Linked DNA regions of Lonchura striata. The protein of the gene in region 1 interacts with the protein of each later gene in a biochemical or structural test. Links are inferred from orthologs where the notes say so. Each region holds a gene or a part of one and is shown on either strand. Other genes may lie near its edges.

Region 1 (10,348 bases):
ACAACTTGAAATCATTATTACAGCTGAACCTTTTGTTAAATAAAAGCTTCCTCTGTAGCCATTTTAGCATTTTAATTGCCTAACTGCAAGTTGGCAGAAAATATCTTGAATCTTCCAAAACAACCAGAATTACTACAGAATATGAGTGCCAGAAAAATTAAAGCTTTCTTCAAAGTATTCTTTTGCTAGGGATTTACAACAATTGCATAAAGAAGAAAAGCCTGACTTTTAAGGTAATCTATCTATAGTCTAAAAGCATTAACATTCCACTAGTAAGGTTTTCCTGAGGATTTCATGACTCGTTGATTCACTTTTCCTTCAACTTTGCTTTTTCTTTGTACATTTCTGTGTCCATATAGTTGAACACATGCAACACTGATCATTAAAATGCCTCCTTCCATAACTTCAAATAAACCCTGCTTTAATAGCTCTCAAATTCCTTATTTATCAGGCAGAGATGACTAACTTTTTACTAACACTCTGCAACATAAAAATATGCCATTCCTTCCTCTAATATGCAGACTAGAATTCAAATACACTACAGGAGTACAGGTAATTGAATAGCTTTCCCCAAAACGAGGCAGGAAGTGTAACCGAAACTTTCATGGGTCACTATCAGTGCATACATTAATCTTGTTAAAAATTCGAGTAATCTGCAAGATGAACAAATTATAATGATGTCTCCAAACTTGAGTATTTTGGTTTTTCCAACACTATTCAGAAAAAAAAAAAAAATCATTTATAGTCATTGATACTTTAATTTCTTAGTTACACACTGTTTTTGTGTTTGAAAACGAACAATCTTTTACAACTGATGATTACGTATAGCAGTAATAACTCTTTCTTGGCCACTGCACACCTTCTCAAGCCAAAAATGTTTCTCTGTTTATGCAGGAAAATGCAGGTGATGTCTTTGTTTTGCAGTAGTCTACAGAAAAGCTATGGAAAACAGCATGTCCTGCTGAAAACCATATGCTATTACCAGAATGCAAGGTTGCATTCATTTGGGCACCTTAAGCCACAGTTTTGCTTCCACTGCTACTTAAAAGAATACACATACACTGAGAGAGTCCTTTTCTTACTCATTCTTCCTACTCATTCAAAATCACATAATCCTGCTTTTAAAGAAATAATTCCCTGTCCTTAAAATAGCCTCCTCTCATAGTTACTATTATTTATGCTTTTAGAATTGGGCTATACACAAAACTGAAAGTATTTACATACTAGCTGGTTATACCCAAACCTTCCTTATATAAACAAACTCTCAAGAGGCTGCCTACAGTTTACATTGCTAAACTCATTCACCATTACTTTTAATATATATTTCCACGACTGAAATACAGTGAAGATGGCAGTTTTTACATTTTTGGATTACTTTACTTTTAAAACACTGCATTCGTCTTCCTTCAAAATAATCATGACATATATAATTAAGAAACTGTCAGATCATTATCAATTTTTAATAAAGGACCTAAATGAAATAATTATAGGAATCAATCAGTGAGGCACCTCTCCAAATTACAATGCAATTGCACAAATATTCAAACTACTTAAGGCCAGTTCTGGAACATTTCAATCCATAATCTCTTTAAACACCACAACAAAACCAATTTTGGAACACAGAGAAACATAGTGATTTCTCACTATTCCAGTGACTTAAACGATTTCAAAACAGATACCTACAGCACAGAGAGACAGAGAGGCAGCCGTGCCCTCCTAAAAATGTTTCTTGGTTTAATCAGCCACATGTCTCAAGGCCTCTGGAAAATTTTGCTTCCAAGTTTTTCTGTAGCACGCACACAAAAGAAACGAAGTCTGCACGCTGAAGCTTAAAAAATCATGTTTATTGAGGCTTGCAAATGAAGCGGGAAGTAGCAAGGGTGCGACGAAGAGGAGCATTTTGCCGTGGGTTGCTACTTAATGTTCTTTTAGTGAAGTAGCCTCCAAAACGTGACACTGTGTATCAAACAGACAGCTATCCGTACCTCTGACTAAAAGGCTCTTTGAGATGAGTACAGTCCATCATTTCAAACTGAAGTGGCAGCTGGAAAATGTGGAACAGCTGGCAAGGAGCTGGGAGAAAATGTTTTACATAAATGTATCTACATACAAACTGGCAGAAGGCCACGGACACCGTACCCGCAGGACCGGATAAAAACTACGCACCAGAGGGTTAAAAACAAAACTGGGGAGTGAGATGGGGAGCGAGGGGCGTGTGTTTCCTTTTACCTTTTCTCTTCACGTGGTGCGCGGGTTGGGGAGCGGGCGCTAGCAGCTGCGAGCCGGCGGGCCCGTCCGAAGGCGCGGGGATTGTGCCAACACCCACCGACTTCACGGGACAATCGGAACCGCGGCGGGCGCGCCGCGCTCCCATCCTGCAAAGTTGGGCGGTGCACGGCCGGGCCGCGGTGCCGGCCCGGGGCGGCTCCGGGGCGCTCCCGCGGGGCGGCCGCGCCGCTCCTCCCGCCCGGCCTCGGCCGGGCCCGTCCCGCCGCCCCGCTCCCGCCGGACCCGCGCCAGGGCGGCGCGGAGCGGCCGAGCGCGCTGCTCACGGAGCCGCCGGCACCCCCGCGCCCCCCTCCGGGACCCGACCGTCCCCTTCCTCGCAGGGAGCAGCCGGCAGGGAACGACGACCCCCGGGCGCCCCTCCGCCCCGCCAGATGTGACAGCGGATTCGCCCCCGCTCCTCTCGCCTTTCCCCCTGCGAAGTTTGTGCCGGCCTCCCGCCGCACGGGCGTGAAAACCCCCTGGAGTCGCTCAGGGAGTAGGGGCGAGGAGAAAGAAGGGGGTGGAAATAAAACAGCAGCTGTCGCCCGCACATCGGCAGCTCTGCCGCGGGACGTGCCCGGCCGAGCCCGGCTCGGAGCGGGGACTGCCCTCGCCTCGCCCCGCACCCCGCGCCCTCGGCTCCCGCGCTCCGTGACAGCCATTTTGGGGGTTAGACACCTCGGTCCCCCCCGACCCCCGCCTCCAAGTTAGGGAAGCGGGAAGCGGGCCGGGAGCGGGGCCGGAGCGCTGGGAGACGACAAGAAAGTGGCCCGGAGTAGAGCCGGGGAACAAAGAACTTCTCGCCCAAGTGGGTACGTACCTGCCGCCGCTGCCGCCGACCCCCGCGCTGCCCATGGGCGAGGGCCGGGACCGCCGGCTCGTCCCCGCGCCGCTCCGCCGCCGCCGCGGCTAGCGGGGCCGGCCCCCGCCGCGGCCGGCGGGCATCCCGCGGGGCAGGGGGACGGGACGGGACACAGGCGGGACGGGGGCGGCAGAGGAGGGCCGGCGGGTGTTGGTGCTGGTTGTTTTATCCCTGCCCGCCTCCCGCGGGGAGCAGCCCGCGCCTCTGCCTCCGTGTGGGGGTGTGTGTGCGCGGGTCCGACATCAGTTTCAGTGATCTTGTAATCTGATCCCTTCTGACTCACTCGCACTGACTGACATTTCTGATTCGGTTCAACAAAAAGAGCAGAGGGGAGGAGAAAAAGAAGAAAAAGAAGAGAGGGAGCAAAAGAAAAAAAAAAAAGTATCCCCAAATCTACGGCCTGGTACCAGTTTTGGTGGGGAAGGGGGAACCCCTCCGTCCCGTCCCGTGCCGCCCGTCCCCTCCAGCCCCGCCACCGCCCCGCATTGTTTTGGCTCGGCGCAGCCACCGAAGGAGGGGAACAAACACATCGCGCCGAGGTACTCACGTGTCGGAAAAGTTGTCCCTCTCTCTTTCCTCCGTCTCGCGCGCTCCTCTCCGCCGCCTCCTTCAAGTTTTACAGATGTTGCAGGGCTGCTCGTCGTCGCCTCCCCCTCCTCCCAGCGCTGCCCTCTGGATCAGATCAGGGGAAAGGCTCTTTAGGGATAACTCCCGATTCAAACACCCTCCGCTAAACTTTCCCCATTCCCTCCCCTTCCTCTGAGCGGCGGAGAGGGCTCCGCTTTCCTTCCCCCCTTCCCTCCGCCCGTTCGGGACGCGGCTGGCTGCTGCCCGGGGCGCGGGTGCCCCGGGCGCGGCGGGGAGCGGGGCCGCTTGCCTGGGGGAGCGGCGGAGGGCTGCGCCCCGGGGTGCGGGTCGGGCCGCGGCCTGCCGGGCTGCGACGCGAGCTCTCGGCATGACACCCCCGCTCCCCCCTTCCTCCTCCTCCTCCTCCTCCCCCGCCATCCCCCCGGCCCGGCCCGGCCCGCCCCGGCGGCGGCCCAAGGGCGGCGACACCCCGCCCACAGCCAGAAGGCAGCGCGGGGCGACGGCGGGTCCCCCCCGGAGCGGCCCCTCCGCCTCGGGTCGCGCTTCCTCCCTCTCCCTCCTCTCCCGCTCCATCCTTCGGCTCAGCCTGCATCTGCAGCCCCATTTCCCGCGCACCGATGCCTTGGACACCCCCTTTTCCCGCCCGCCAAAAATCCAGGGCTTTTTGGGGGTAAACGTGCCCTTCGCGTGGGTTTTCTGTGTATGCTGCGCCTTTTGGGCTCACGTTCGCTCTGGCGCAGCAGGCTGACTTGACTGAAGGACTTCAAGGAAAGTTTCACCTAAGCCATGTGACACCGACAGATAGCTCTTTTGGAGAAAAAATACAAGTGCTTTGTCGAGGGGAAAAGTGGCGGTGATGCCTGCGCCGGCTCCTCCTTTCCCAGCCCACCTGCCAGCCTCCTCAGCACCCTGCCAGGCTCCTCTGGCCTTCAACCTACGAAACAGGGCTCTCAGCTGCCTCCGTCTTTGGCCCTCATCTCCGTTCTTCCTCCGGGCTCCTTGCGAGCAGGTTTCTCACAACAGCATGCTGCAGTCCAGAAATAGCAAGAACTAGGATGCCATTTGTTCCAGTATCTCCATCCTTCGGGAAATGATGTGTCCTGACAAGACACCTTACATTTCCAAAGTTTGCAGATTGCTCCCTGATATTAAAAAAGTCTGAGAAACCGTAAATTAACACTACCACAACCATTTTCCATCAAGTCACAAGGTGGGACTGGCTCTCGGGAAAAGTATATGTGTATATATATATATAAATATATTTAAATTGCTGCCGTCACAATATCAGATACTTTACATGCACTTTTGTTCATAACCTGACTCACAACACAGCCAAGTAAAGATTTGTTACTGATACATGCAATTTAGCAAGGTACCCGAGCTTGGGCTACATTTGGAAAGTCCTCAAAAAATTAGTGGTTCTTGACAAAATGTTATGTTTGCTGATGGAAATGAAAGACTGATTTGATGCTGTGTATTTCATAAAGCTTCTCTTAGTCTCACCATTGAAAATGTTGATTTTATTACAAAACAAAGCTGCAGGTATTTGTGGTTTGAGATTACTTGGTCCACTAGTTTTTTAAAAACAAAGAGAAAGCAATCTTACCTAACTCAAAGGGCCACTTCAACCCTAATTTCCTCAGGCTAACTGGCTTGGTGTTGTTTTTCACCTGTAAATCTTTTCTGGGTGCAAGAAGTAGCTTTAGCGAGATGCCTATAATACATGGATGTTCCTGCTACGGTCAGACTAATTGCCCTGGCGGTCCCAGGGATGCCTTTTATATGCACATTTTACAGCACCAGGTCAGCACAGCCTGACTTTCAGGATAGACACAGTAGTCAGATGCTGTCACACTGAGTGAGAGTTGCACATTGTTCAAGCTGCCACGCATGCCCGGGCACTGTTGGAGGTGGGCACCGGGGACCAGATGAGAGCCTGTGCTCTGGTGCCATGCCTCCGAAGCCAGTGATTTCACAGCACACCAAGAGACAAATCTGCCCCTGCTCCGAAGGAGCAGCCCCTGGCTGCCCAAGCAATACTGCTGACATGCATAGTGCTACACAGGGAAGAGGCATGTGCAACACCAGCATCTGAATGCCAATATGAAGAGCTGATATTCTTCCAACTTTTTTATCTTATATGACTTCCTTTTCCAGTCTCATGTTCCCAGGAAAATGTTAGCTGTTTCATGATATATGATAATAGTGGTGTAGTACTGCGGATGTTTTGTTTTAGCTATATGTGCTATATACACCACCATATGTATGTACTTTATGTGACATGCACACCACCCCCTGATACATATATATGTGCTGGGGGAGTGCTGGTGCACAGAGTGATTAGGCAAACCTCAGGTCCCTTTACAGATATGTTTAAGAGCAATATAATTCCTTCGGCCCATTGTACTCTTCTCTCATTTTCTGCCTCTTGCTTATTCCTTTCTATTTTATGCAATCAATTTTCTTAAACTCTTTTTTTTTTCTCTTTGTATAATGAAAACCCTTAAAAGTAACAGGGGAAATTAACCAACATCCAAAATGATACTTTGTAAAAGAAACAAATTAATGTGGAAAATCCTGTTTGACTCACCATTTATAATTCAGTATTGCTGATGTTAAGATACTGCTTTTAATAAAAGCTTAAAAGACATTTAAACTGGGGCATGATTTTGAGACTGGGCCTTCAGGTCAGTATTCATCTTAGACTTTTTAAAAAAATAAGCTATTTCCTCAGAGTTTGGACATCTTGTTACATCATGAAACAGCTCTTTGAGTTTTGGGGGTTTTTGTTTGTTTTTAATATTATTCACACCAACTCTTCTCAAGACACATATTTCTAATTTGAGATAAATAACCCAAAGCATTTCTCTACACTCAATTCACATTAAGACAGACCAAAAAATATAAAGAGGTGATAGAATGCTTTAACATTTGCTTATGAAAAATAGCTTTCTGATGCATTTTTGAGCAGTGAAAGTCTTGAGAGAAGGGAAACACAGAAACAATAACTGAAGTTTCTGCTTGTGCCTCTGTCTGCTCAGGCCAAGCAGAAAATAAAAACTGATGGTGAGTGGGTGACATTTGCCATTTGAAACGTACTGTAAATGTTTCAACACCTTGACAATGAAGAGTGCAAAAGAAGCTTAGAACATCCAACCCTTCAGCTTAACAAAATGAAAATGGGCAGCTCTGTTCAGGGAGGTGCCTTTCTTATCATCTTTCATGTCTGATTCAGAGGAATCGTACTTGAAAGATGCAATGGGAAGACAAAAACTACACATTAATAAAACATAATGATTTTTCCACGTCTGGATTGCGCCTCCAAGAGAAATTAACCTCTGAGATTTGTCTATGATGTTTCCCTGCAAGTAGGAATTGGCTCCTGCAGAAGACCTGTTGACCTGTTACAAAACTCATTTCTCTGACTCAATATGCCACAACCACAGGGCATTTCTGCTGTGAGTTATATCATGCATGATACTTTTGCATTTCTTCAGCCTACCTTGTCTCCCCGCTTCTTCTCAGCCTCTGACTTGAAAATTACAGTCCTCCAAGGTGTGCATTTGTCTTCTCCTTTTGCTGCACCTGTTGTTACAGGAAAGCACAGTCAGAAGGAGCAGAGACTCTGCTCATAAGCTGTATGCAAAAGACCTGATATTCAGTGACACCAAGAACCAGTCTCCTCACCACTCCCAGGTGCACCACCCTCCACCTTCTCTCCAATCCCAGCAAATGCTCTACAGGACATATTCAAGGACCTTAACTGTTGCTGTTTATCCAGTTGACATCCAGTAGAAGACAAAGGTTTTAAAACAGTCCCTTTCTTGACAGTAGGCAATTACAAGAATACATTCTATGAAATAGGTCTGCTGTGATTTCACAGGGACAACCTCAGGTAAAGCTGTGGAATATGGAGCAACGGCACCGATTTCTGGTCATTTATGCAATATCCATCACAAGAGAGCTTGACCAGTGCATCTTGCCCCTACCTACATATCTCCTGTGTTGCATGGCTGCCTCTTACAGCAGATGTGTCTCAAGAGTTACCTAGTGGAAGGAAAAGAGGAGTATAAGATGGTATCATGTCAGAATCCTCAAAGTCTGCACAAGCTGCAGCTGGGGGCACAAGGAAAGATTCATGGCCCAAGGTGGGATGAAGAACTGGTGCATGGAGGCAGCCACATTTGGGAAGGATATAAAGGTCAGGCAAAAACCTTATCTGCAGTTACTGTCAGGCAATTGATTTAGAAAAGGCAAATGATGTGGGGTCTGAGAAACAACTAATTGTTTGGTTCTGAAAGAAATTATAAACTGATGTGCCACTACACACTAGTGTAAATTAGTAACTTTGGATCCTTTCATTATTTGGATGTTTGATTTTTATTACTGCCATTGAAAAAAAAAAAGGAAATTTATCAGCAAATATCCAGATGTGTCAAATAGCAACCTTCATTCAGGAGTCTCAGTTTTCTAAGGATGGTCATTGCAGCCTTTCACAGACTTGATATACATAATTCCTCTGGTAGTCCATAGCAAGGAACCACTATATCTTTCTCCTTCTTTTGCTAACACTGGGGACATTGCTAGATTTCAGTGGAAAAAGGACTGAACCCTAATGATCAGATTTATCTTTCTACTCTAGCAGATCATTTTTTGTACACCGTCCTATTTCTCTGAATGGTGAATCTAACTAACCTAGCTATTTATAACATATAGTCATGATTAAGTTTTTTGAATACTGTATAATAAAATTAAACAGTGAATAATATAATAAAATATAATATAATTAAAATGCAGTTTATTTTTATCCCCTTCTATCTTGTAAATATGTAAAATTACATATTTATTTTTCAGATTCTGTTGTGATTACTGAAGGAAAATTAAGACTAAGAGATGAGTTTTACACACAGACAAAAAGGACAATTTTATGCAGTAAATTCTTTACTTTTGGACTGTCTACATAGAAAGTCTGAGTTCTCCATCTCTTAAATACTAACTTATTAAAATACTTTCACCCTCCTTGACTTTAGATGTATGTTTGCATTAAAACTCTTCATTACTATGAACATTCTTCAGAAGAATATTTTCTTCTTACAGGAAATTAAAATGGTGTTGTTCTGCGTGAGATATTTTGATATATGACCATAAACACACCAAACAAACAAGCAAGGGAGTTTCCTTTGTTTGCTTTTAAAAGCACCCTGTACATGTTAATTAACAGGCAGGTAGCATATGGAGGAAGAGCAGAGTGTCTTTAACAGGCTACATCCAATAAAGACACAAAAATCATAACATTTCACACAGATTAGGCATAAATACTCTTTTTGCTATGCTGTAATAAGAAATGAAATTGCTAATGGTGATGATATTTAGTTTGTTATAATTAGCTAGATCATCATTAACATCCACTTTAAATGATCTGGGATACTTTCAACCTCTCTAGGGAGTTGTCTCAGCTTCTCTCCCAACTGAGCCATTGAGCTACAAGTGAAAGGATTTAGCAGTATTTTGTAGGGTATAGTCAGAAGCCATTATCCAGGAGATATAGTTTATATAGACTGTTCTGGTAGAATTTAAACCAATTCCTTGAATGGAATCACCTTTATCAGAAGAAAGGACAGTTTTTTCTAGCATATCCAACCCTATGTTAGCATTGCCTATTATAGTTGTGTCAGTTGGGATGGGGGGATGGGAAGAATATCACAGAGATATAAAGGATCCATCAAAATGTCTTTTTTTTTGTCAGTTGTTGATGCAGTGAATTGGACAGACACATTCTGAGGTGAATTCACACACTCCCCTAGGAAATGGCTGGGTTTTCCCCTAAATCTTAAATCTACTAGCCAACATTTTAAAGCATGCTCAGATACCATGGAAGGCTTGTAGTTTCCAGACTTTTTGTCAGCCTCTTAAGTAATTATTTCAGTAGTTGGTGAATACCCATTGTTCTAGTCCAAATGCACATACAGTGCATTTGTTTGCCTTTTTTTTTTAACGGCAATAGAAAAAAAATAGATTCATTGCTTCTATTTCATTCTGGCTTTGTATAGCTATAGAGATATTGCTTAGTGGGCATTTGCAAATGTCTTTTTCCTAATATGTTAATGCTACATATATTAATGTACTACTACACTTCTAGCAGATAATCCCCAGTTAGAGTTGTCCTAGGTAAGGTGTGACAATAGCATTTGTAAATCAAATAGCATCCCGTGGGCATTAAGGGGCCCCCAAGAACTGCTACTTTGTCCTCTTTGCCACCTGGGTGCAGATTCCAATCTAGTCAGGAATCCAGACAATCTATTGGCCTTAATCTGTCCTTGGTGGGCACTTGTCCTTACAGAAAGATACAGTGCAAACATATTTGATGATATCTAGACAGGAGACATCTGAGATTAGTGAATCTAAAGCATGAATTTTTGATCCATCAAGACCTCGTGTTATATATCTCTATCTATACCTCTCTCAATCTGTGTTTCACATCTATGTGTCTACCAGTTGCTGATTTAGTCTCATTCTGACTGGGACATTAAACTGTGCACCCACTAAATGGATCAAAGAAAATGCATGTACTGCATCAGACAATATTTTGAAGGGACTTTTGTCGACTCTGTTCCCACCCTTACTCCTGTC
Region 2 (9,604 bases), on another chromosome or scaffold:
GCCCCGCGCCCGGCCCCGCCGCAGCGCTCCGCCCGTGGGGCCGGCGGGCTGAGGAACGGGGGCGAGGGCTCCTCCCGGGACAGCCCCTCCTCATTCTTCCTCTGGCTTTATCCCCAGCGGCTCCTGGGATAATCTCTGCACGTCAAACCCCAACTCAGCACGGCCAGGGTCACCCATCGGGGCCTCTCTGTCTCACCGGTGCTCGCCACTGGGCAGGGAGGGTCTGCCCAGCCTCGCCCGGCTCGCGGAGAAAGGCCCAGGGCAGGAGAGGGCCGCGTACTCCGGGCGCGGGCTCGGGAACAGCCGGGGCGAAAAGGCAGCGGCCTCGGCACGCTGGGGAAGGGGCGGCCCTGCCCCGGTGGATGATGCCGGCCCGGCGACGCCCGAGGCCGGGATGCCTCCCCGGAGCCCTGGGCTTGCGGTTGCCCCTCAGAGCTCAGTCACGCAGAAAGGCTGCCTAAAGTCTGTGTCCCCCGCAACAGCGGGACAATAGAGCCACCCTTCGGGTCACAGGTCACCTCCTCGCTGATTGAGATATTCGCCGCTTTCCCCCACCCTCTCTGCTTCTCGGAGGCGCGGGGGGGTTCTCAAGGGGGCGGTCGGAGGGCACGGATGCTCTCGGCCGGGCCGGGGTGCCGAGGCCCCGGCTTGCCCCGCTGTCCGCTCGCGGGTCTGCACTGTTCCTCCTCCTGATGGCTTAGCGAGGGATAGGGGATGGGAGAGATGAGGGGTGGGTGTTTCCCCCTTGCAGACTGTGGCCTTTCCTGGGCTGACTCCGGTGTGTGGGCACCCCAAGGCGCAGGGAGCCTCCTCAGCTTCCCGTAGGGCTGCGGCACCCGTTGTTCCCTGCTCCTAGGTTTGCCTTGGCCCCATTTGGGCGACAGGACACAATTTCTTCTGCAGCACTTGAACCAGTCCTCGTGGTTTTCCCACTCGCTTCCGAGCCTGATGCATATTTTCCACGCAGCTGAACGGTGATCTTCATTTTAGGGGGGAAACTTCTCCCCATCACCACAAAACGAGCAACAAGCCCTGGTGCCCGGGCGAGGTTGCCAGCGTCGGTGTCGGCCCGGCTCCACGGGGTGCAGGGGAGCCCGCTGGCACCTACGTTTCCTCGCCACTCCAGTCTTTCTGCCTGCCTCCGTCTGGCCTTTGATATTCCTCGCCCCCTCCCGTTGCCGAAGTTCAGACCTGTTTACTCCAGCCCAGATCTCTGAAGTTCAAATGTACATGTGCTTCCCCCTCCGCTGAGTGACAGCTACAATGGAAATGTCTCGTTCGCTCCTGGTTTGCATATAATTACACCGGAGATGCAATATGTTTATGGCAGGAGAAAAACTACTTGTCTTTACGCTTGTTAAGGATATTCATTTAGCCGCGATACAGCGCGGTTTAAAAGCTCTTTAGGGTGGATGGAATATTCCCCTCGCCGCCGTCTCTCAGCTCAGCGCGAGGGGACTTTTGTTGCTGTTATCCCGGGTTTGTTCTGCTTTTTCCTCGCATCCTCGGTGTAAGGCACAAGGGAAATCCACGGAGCCTCCGATCTGGAGCTCCTGGGGCCGTTGCTGAAACTTCACCTGCCCCTGGCCCGCTGCGGAATGTGCCATAAAGCGTGGGCACCCGCTGGGGACCGCGTTTTCCTCCTGCGCTGGAGGCCCGAGACCTCGCGGTCTCCTCCTGGCGAGGCTCTCCGGACCGCGCCGGGGTGCTGGGACGGGGCCGCGTTCATCCCCGGGATCCCCGGGAAGCCCGGCAGGGAGGTCCCGGCGGGCTCTGGGCACGGAGGGACCCCCAACGCTTCCCAGGGCATTTGAAATTTTTGCAGCTCTTAAGTTCCAAAAACACTTAAAAGGAAAACAAAAAACAAACAAAACAATACAAAACAAATCTAAAAACCAACCAACCAACCAACCAACCAAACAAACAAACAAACTAAAAAAAAAAAAAAAAACAAAAACCCCAAAAAAACCCAAAAAGGTGGGAGAACTGCACAATATTTGTTCTTGACGTAAAGCACGGGGTCTTTCTTTGCCTTCCCCACACGTTGGGAGCACGGAGGGAAAAGGGAGCCTGGAGACTACTTTTACGGTTGTTGTTGTTTGCATGTTTGCAATTGAGATAGATTTTAAATGGAAGAGATGAGAGGTACCCCGACTTCTGGAAAATGAATTGAGTTTGGCCAGAAATACCACTGAATAAAAATGGAAATTACTGAATTTATAAAATAAAGTATAAAATACATATTTTTATATACATACATACATACACACACACACACACACACACACACACACGCACGCACACACACACACGCACACACACACATATATATATATATACACACATATTCCGAAAGCTCAGCAAGGGAAAAACGATCATAGGCTACACAGACAATGCCTTTAAAAAAAAAAAAACAAACAAACAAACAAAAAAACCCCACCTCGTTTTATACAATTTTTGCTCCCCGAGCTGGCAAATTCCAGTCAGGATGCGACGGAGTGCAAATAGTGACAGAACACCAGTGCGGATGCTGCCGGGTGCACACACCCAGGCAAAGTTGGCAGAGTAGAAGTGGGAAACGTATAAAAAGATTTATAGGTTAATTGATGTAGCCCAATCCGCCATACACAGCTGCTAGGCAGGCTGTGGCCAGCAAGCCGTCCCGAAACGGATATTCCTCGTCCAAAATTACGATTATTTCGTTTTTCTCCCCAATCCCAGCCCCTCGGGATATTTTTCTCGAAGCACCGCCGTCGCGCCATTGCCGATGAGATTTTTTTTTTAGGCGGAAAACAACTTAAATTTATTTTTTTTAAATCTTCTGCCTCTGTGGAGCCACAGTCGCTCTTTCTCGCCACGCCGGAGGGTTTCCCAGCCCACACCCGCGCCTCCCTTCCCACGCCCGCCGGTCGGGGCAGCCGCAGCCCCGCGTGGTGTGAGCACCTGGGCGGGCAGCGCCGCTCCGCCACCGCCACCGGCCCGGCCCGGCCCGGCGCGGCGCGTCCCACCCACGGGGGACACAATGCCGCACGTGAGGCCTCTGCACAAACAGGGGTCAGTCGCCCTCGGTCGCTCCAGGTCGGCGACTTCAGAGGCTCTGCCCTCCCCGACGCTCAGCTGACGGGAATAATTGAAGTTCCAACCCCTTCCCCACGGCCTTTTTTTTTTTTTTCCCCTTTTTTTCTTTCTTTCCTTTTTTTTTTTTTTTTTTTTTAATTTTTATTGTGGGTTGGTTGTTGTCGAGAAAGAAAACCCTACACGTGCGGGAGGTAAATATAATTAATGACCCCGGCGCAGCCCTCCGGAGACAGGCAGGTAGAGCCTCAGCGGAGCAGCAAGGCGGCTGCGGGCCTCGCCGCGTCGCCGCCGGGGGCCGATGTGACCGGCTACCCCTGGCCCTGTCCCGGCTTCCCGGCGCCCGGGCTCCCGGCCGAGCCGCGGCGAGGGCTGCGATCCCGCCGGCTCCCCCGCCGCCCGCGAGCAGCCGCGGCTGGAGCGGGGAGAGCAAGAACGCGGCCCCGACCGCCCCGGTGGGTGCCCCGGTGGGTGCCACGGTGGGTGCCCCGGTGGGTGCCACGGTGGGTGCCCCGGTGGGTGCCACGGTGGGTGCCACGGTGGGTCCCCGCGCTCCCTCCTTCTGCTCTGTTGCCATCGTGCACTAACGGCAGCGGCGGACTCACCTTCCAACTTTGGGACTGTTCTTGGCGGCTGTGGCCTGGGAAATTTGAGTGTTTGACGGGCACTGGTGTTATCTCTCGGGGAGATTTTATATCGGTGGCTTTTTTTTTGTCCCCTTTCTTTCTTCTTCTTTTTTTTTTTTTTTCCTCTCTTACTTTTATTTTTTTTTTTTAATTTTTCTTTTACTCGCCCCCTGCAATCCTTAAAATAAAGAAGACGAAGCCTTTCCCGGGGCTGATTGGGGGGAAGAATGTGAAAGGGCCGCGGTAATAAAGCGCTGCTTGAAGCGGGCTCTCAATGCGTCTCTGAACTTGATCAGATTTTACGTTTCCTGCAGAGAGCCGGCGGCGAGCCTGAGACCTGCCCAATAGCCAGACTTGGGGGCTCAGCAAACCTCAGGATATTACAATTACAGCCATCTTTCTTTCTGCCTTTTATTTTCACTCTTGCTCCCTATAGTTCTTTGCAAATGCTTTCCAGAACAGAAAATGAGTGGATTTATAGCGCTGTCTGCAACTGATAATTATTCCAAGGCAGAACATTTCCCTTGCAAAATAAAATATTAAAAAATAAAATAATAAAAACAAAGAAAGAAAGGGGATAAAAAGAGAGAACGGAAGAAGGAAAAAATGAGAAAGTGAGAAAGGAAGAAGGAAAAAATGAGAGAGAAAGAGAGAAAGAAAGAGAAAGAATGAACGAGAGCAGGAAGAAAGCGGCTCGGAGCCGCCGTGGCGGGCGCTGCTCGGCCGCCCCCCGCGGGTCGGCAGGGGGTGGGGGACGGGGCAGGGGAAAGGGGCTGGGCTCGGCCGGCGGGGTGACCCCGGCCCGGGCACGCTGCGCACCGAGGCGGAGAGGCAGGAGCGAGCGGCTCTGCTCTCGGGTTTACTCAGTAAGGGTAAAAATGAATAGAAAACTGAAACAGATATATAAAGTATATATGATTATATATAAATGTATGCATACAGAAATAAACTGTAAACAGCCTCGGCTTTAGCTTTCCTTTTTTTTTTTTTTTTTAATTAAATTTTATTTTTGAACCAACGCGGCGGCTTTGCAGAGGCTTTACGCCGCCCCGCCGCGCCGCCCAGGGCGAGCATCCCGCGCGGCGTGGGGCGGCGCTGGCAGGGCACGGGCAGCGAGACGCGGTGGGACCGGACCGGGACACGGCGGGACTGGGACACGGCGGGACACGGCGGAACACACGGGTCCGGGCCGGGAGACGGCGGGACCGGACCGGGACACGGCGGGACAGGGACACGGCGGGACCGGGACACGGCGGGACACACGGGTCCCGGGACATGGCGGGACACGGCGGGCCGGGCCGAGACACGGCGGCAGACGGCGGAACACGGCGGCAGACGGCGGAACACGGCGGCAGACAGCGGGCTACGGCGGGCCGGGCCGGGACACGGCGGGACACGGTGGCAGACAGCGGGCCACGGCGGGCCGGGCCGGGCCACGGCGGGCCACGGCGGGCCGGGCCGGGCCACGGCGGCACAGGGCGGGCCGAGCCGCGCCGAGCCGCGCCGGGCCGGGCGCGGGCTCCGCGGCGCTCCCGCCGCCCGGGCCCCCCCGGCCACCCCCGCTCTACCTGCGGGGCGCGCGCGCCCAATCAGCGGCCGCGGCGGCGCGGGGCGCGTGCCAATCAAGCGCGGTGCCGCCAATGGGGCGGCGGGCGGCGGGTCAGGTGACGGGCGGCGCGCGGCCCCCATTGGCGCGGCGCGGCGCGGCCCGGGCTCGGTTTATGTGCGAGGCGCGCTCGGGCGCCCGGCAGTGCCCCGACGGCGCCGAGCGGGAGCGCGGCCGCCCCGCGCCTCCTGCCCTGCTGCGCCGCCCGGCCCGACCGGCGCGGCGCGGGGGGCGGGTGGCTGCTTTGGCTTTTGGGGTTTTGGTTTTGGGGTTTTTATCTTCTTCTTTTTTTTTTTTTTTTTTTTTTTTTGGTTGTTTTTTGGTTTGGTTTTGTTTTGCTTTTGTGTCGGTCGTGGGGTGCTCGCCTCGCTGCCCGCCCGCGGCCGGGGCCGCGCCTGCCCGCAGCGGGGGGCGGAGTGGGGGTGCGTTTTGGGGTGGTTTTGTACTTTTTTGGGGGCGGGCGGAAGGAGGAGGGGGGGCGGGCAGGCTGCCGCCGCGCCGACGGCCCCGCGCCCATGACGATGCTGCTGGACGGAGGGCCGCAGTTCCCGGCGCTGGGGGTGGGCGGCTTCGCAGCGCCCCGCCACCACGAGATGCCGGGCCGCGACGCCGCCGGCGGCGGCATGGGGCTGGGCCCCTTCGGGGACTCTTCGCACGCCGCCGCCTTCAAGCTGAACGCGGCCCCGCACGACCTCGCCGCCGGGCAGAGCTCGGCGTTCACGCCGCAGGCGCCGGGCTACGCCAGCGCCCTGGGCCACCACCACCATCACCACCACCACGCCGGCCAGGTGCCCTCCTACGGCGGGGCCGCCGCCTTCAACTCCACCCGCGACTTTCTGTTCCGCAACCGCGGCTCCGGCATCGCGGACGCCGCCTCCGGCACGGCGCAGCACGGGCTCTTCGGCGGCTCTCCCGGCGGCTTGCACGGCCCCGGCGGCATCCCGGACACCCCGGGCTACCTGCTCTTCCCGGGGCTGCACGAGCAGAGCCCGAGCCACACGTCCCCCAACGGGCACGTGGACAACGGGCAGATGCACCTGGGGCTGCGCGGGGACCTCTTCGGGCGGCCGGATCCCTACCGGGCCGTCTCCAGCCCCCGCACGGACCCTTACGCCGGCGCCCAGTTCCACAACTACAACCACATGAATATGAATATGGGCATGAACGTGGCGGCCCACCACCACCACCACCACCACCACGGCCCCGGCGCTTTCTTTCGGTACATGCGCCAGCCCATCAAGCAAGAATTGTCCTGCAAGTGGCTCGACGAGAGCCAGCTCAGCCGGCCCAAGAAGAGCTGCGACAGGACTTTCAGCACCATGCACGAGCTGGTGACCCACGTCACTATGGAGCACGTCGGGGGGCCGGAGCAGAACAACCACATCTGCTACTGGGACGAGTGTCCGCGGGAAGGCAAGTCCTTCAAGGCGAAATACAAACTGGTGAATCACATTCGGGTGCACACGGGGGAAAAGCCCTTCCCGTGTCCCTTCCCGGGCTGCGGCAAGATCTTTGCCCGCTCCGAGAACCTCAAGATTCACAAGCGGACGCACACAGGTAAGGCCCGTGTCCGTGTGTTCCCCCGCCCGGGACGGGGGGCTCCGGGGCTGCGGGACGGGCCGGGCCGGTGGCGGCCGGCGTGTGAGCTGCGCGGCGCTGCCTCCGCTCTCGGCCTCCGGAGCGGAGGGAACCATAGAAATGCAAATGAAACCTCGTTTTCGGTGACTTCCGCTCCTTTTTTATTCTTATTTTTAGGCCTGATTGGCGTCTCTTCTAATTAAATCGGCGATACTTTTGTCAAAGTATTTTTATTTGCAGCCCCGACTTTCCTTCAGCCCTCCTGCATGGGTGGAGGGAAGAGAGGGGGAAGGCTGGAAGCAAACGTACTTTGGCTTGTATCCTCGAGTAGGTCTTGTAAAGCTGTCCGAGCCGCTGAATTTATCTCAGGTCTTCTCCTTTCCCAAGCTCGCCCAGCTGCCTTCCCTGCTGGAGCCCAGCGTGGGCCTGGCGGGAGGTGAGTTAAAAGTCATAAAGCCTGACCCAAATTTATCCGACACGTAACAAATCTTGCTGTCCATCTTCCCCTTCATTTGTTGTGGTGCTTGTGCATCCCTAAGGTGGGGCGAGCAGGGCAGATGCTGTCCTTGGAGGAGGCGGGTGAGGATGGAGAGAGGAACGGCCCTCCTTCACCCTCTCTAAATTTCACAGGTGAGAAGCCTTTCAAGTGCGAGTTTGAGGGCTGCGACAGGCGCTTCGCCAACAGCAGTGACAGGAAGAAACACATGCACGTCCACACCTCCGACAAGCCCTACATCTGCAAGGTGTGCGACAAATCCTACACCCACCCCAGCTCACTTAGGAAACACATGAAGGTAAATCACGCCGGTGCTCCAGCCCTTTCCTCCCTGAGCAGTGATGCTCAGTCGCTGGTGTGCTCAGGGCTCATTCCCCCGGAGCAGAGCTGAGCTCCTTGTTCCGAGCACGGCCCGAGCCGTCCCCGCTGTCTAGGCTGTGGCTGGAGCACAGCCCGGGGAAATGGCGCAGTTTCTTTTCCGCTGGTGCAGGCGCTGCCCGGTTTGTGGAGCGGGGCTCGGTGCGGGCAGGCTGTGCAAGTGCAGCCCGGCCTGTGGCTGCAGCCCCTCGTGCTGGGATGCCGCAGCCCCCCGGCCAGGCCGCTGCAGCAGTGTCCGGGGGCCGCGGCAGGCGTCTGTTGCCGATGCTCAGTGGCCGGCCGGGCGTGAGCTGCCCTCCGGCCGAGCGTGAGCTGCCCACTGCCGGGCATGAGCTGCCCGCCGGCCGGGCGTGAGCTGCCCACTGCCGGGCATGAGCTGCCCGCCGGCCGGGCGTGAGCTGCCTGCCGGCCGGGCGTGAGCTGCCCACTGGCCAGGTGTGAGCTGCCCACTGCCGGGCATGAGCTGCCCGCCAGCTGGGTGTGAGCTGCCTGCCGGCCGGGCGTGAGCTGCCCACTGCCGGGCATGAGCTGCCCACTGCCGGGCATGAGCTGCCCGTCGGCCGGGCGTGAGCTGCCCACTGCCGGGCGTGAGCTGCCCGCCGGCCGGGCGTGAGCTGCCCACCGGCCGGGAGTGAGCTGCCCGCTGCCCCAGGAGTGAGCTGCCCACTGCCAGGCATGAGCTGCCCACTGCCGGGCGTGAGCTGCCCGCCGGCCGGGAGTGAGCTGCCCGCTGCCCCAGGAGTGAGCTGCCCACTGCCAGGCAGGGCCCGGCCACTGCTCCACGTGTCCCTCCGGCATGGAGGAGCAGGCCCGCGGGGTGCTGGAGGACCCGAGCTCGCTCCCATCTCTGCCTCTTGGTTTTAGGTGCACGAATCCCAAGGGTCGGACTCTTCCCCTGCAGCCAGTTCGGGGTACGAGTCCTCCACCCCGCCTGCGGTGGGCTCCGCCGGCAGTAAGGACTCCACTAAAACGCCGCCGGCCGCCCTGCAGAGTAACCCCGGCCATAACCCTGGACTGCCCCCCAATTTTAATGAGTGGTATGTGTGAAGGCAGCTGCTGCCCGGCCACAGACTGGACCAAATGCATAGGGAACGAGGCAAAAAAAAGGACAAACCAAGCCAACTGCAGCTCGCTCCCACGGAAATAGAGTTTCCACACCGATGGCCGCATAGTGCTACACCTACTTGACTGCCAGGATGTGGAGGGGGGTCTTTTATTATTATATTATAATTATTACTATTTCTTTGCAAGCCCAGACGCTGGACTAGCCATGTCCTTTTCTCAGGATTAGATTTTTTTTTTTTTGTAATTTTTTTCAGTCTCAGTCATTTCTTTGGTTTTCACTCCCCCCCCTTGCCTGAGTCTCTCTTCCTCCAATTCCCAACTTATTTTATTTTTCTTAATTTGTTTTTTTTTTTTTTTTTCTCTTTCTTTCGGTGGGATGTTGACATGAGGATGAAAATTCTCCTTCGCCTTAGTGGTGATTGTTTAAACTTACAGTCTTAAACCGTGCCAAAGTCCTGTTATGTCTTGAACTTTCCTTTCTAGCTCTCTTGCTGCTTCTTTCTCTGCTCTTCTCTTTCTCCTTCTCTCTCCAAGCATTACACATGTGAATGTATTCTCGTCTGATGGGGTCGGTCAGTATTTTTCAGGATGAGGATGTGGTGTTTATTCTGCCCAGATTGTGACGTTTAGTATAACAGTTGCCTTTTTGTAATAACTTTTTTTGTAAATACATACCCATGATGCCATATTTATCGTTCGTAATTTAATTATTGATACAAAGTGCCGGGAACTGAACAATATTTATGGGGGAGAAAAAATTGTTTTCTAACAAAAAAATAC

Evidence for each region. The genes of interacting proteins can lie anywhere in the genome.
Region 2: the proteins of GLI3 (region 1) and ZIC3 form a complex in vitro, tested with the Homo sapiens proteins (2 studies listed by BioGRID). The link is inferred for Lonchura striata from reciprocal best matches to the Homo sapiens genes GLI3 and ZIC3.

Annotation. Positions count from the first base shown.
Region 1 is NC_134603.1:104,408,795-104,419,142, forward strand, and holds the start of GLI3 (transcriptional activator GLI3), read right to left. Parts: upstream 4,115-10,348; 5' UTR 4,008-4,114; intron 3,937-4,007; exon of another isoform or gene 3,803-3,936; 5' UTR 3,678-3,802; intron 3,145-3,677; exon of another isoform or gene 3,089-3,144; intron 2,419-3,088; exon of another isoform or gene 2,230-2,418; intron 1-2,229. UniProt on the Homo sapiens protein: Has a dual function as a transcriptional activator and a repressor of the sonic hedgehog (Shh) pathway, and plays a role in limb development.
Region 2 is NC_134616.1:338,921-348,524, forward strand, and holds the start of ZIC3 (zinc finger protein ZIC 3), read left to right. Parts: upstream 1-5,822; coding exon 5,823-6,864; intron 6,865-7,515; coding exon 7,516-7,679; intron 7,680-8,623; coding exon 8,624-8,806; 3' UTR 8,807-9,604. UniProt on the Homo sapiens protein: Acts as a transcriptional activator. Required in the earliest stages in both axial midline development and left-right (LR) asymmetry specification. Binds to the minimal GLI-consensus sequence 5'-GGGTGGTC-3'.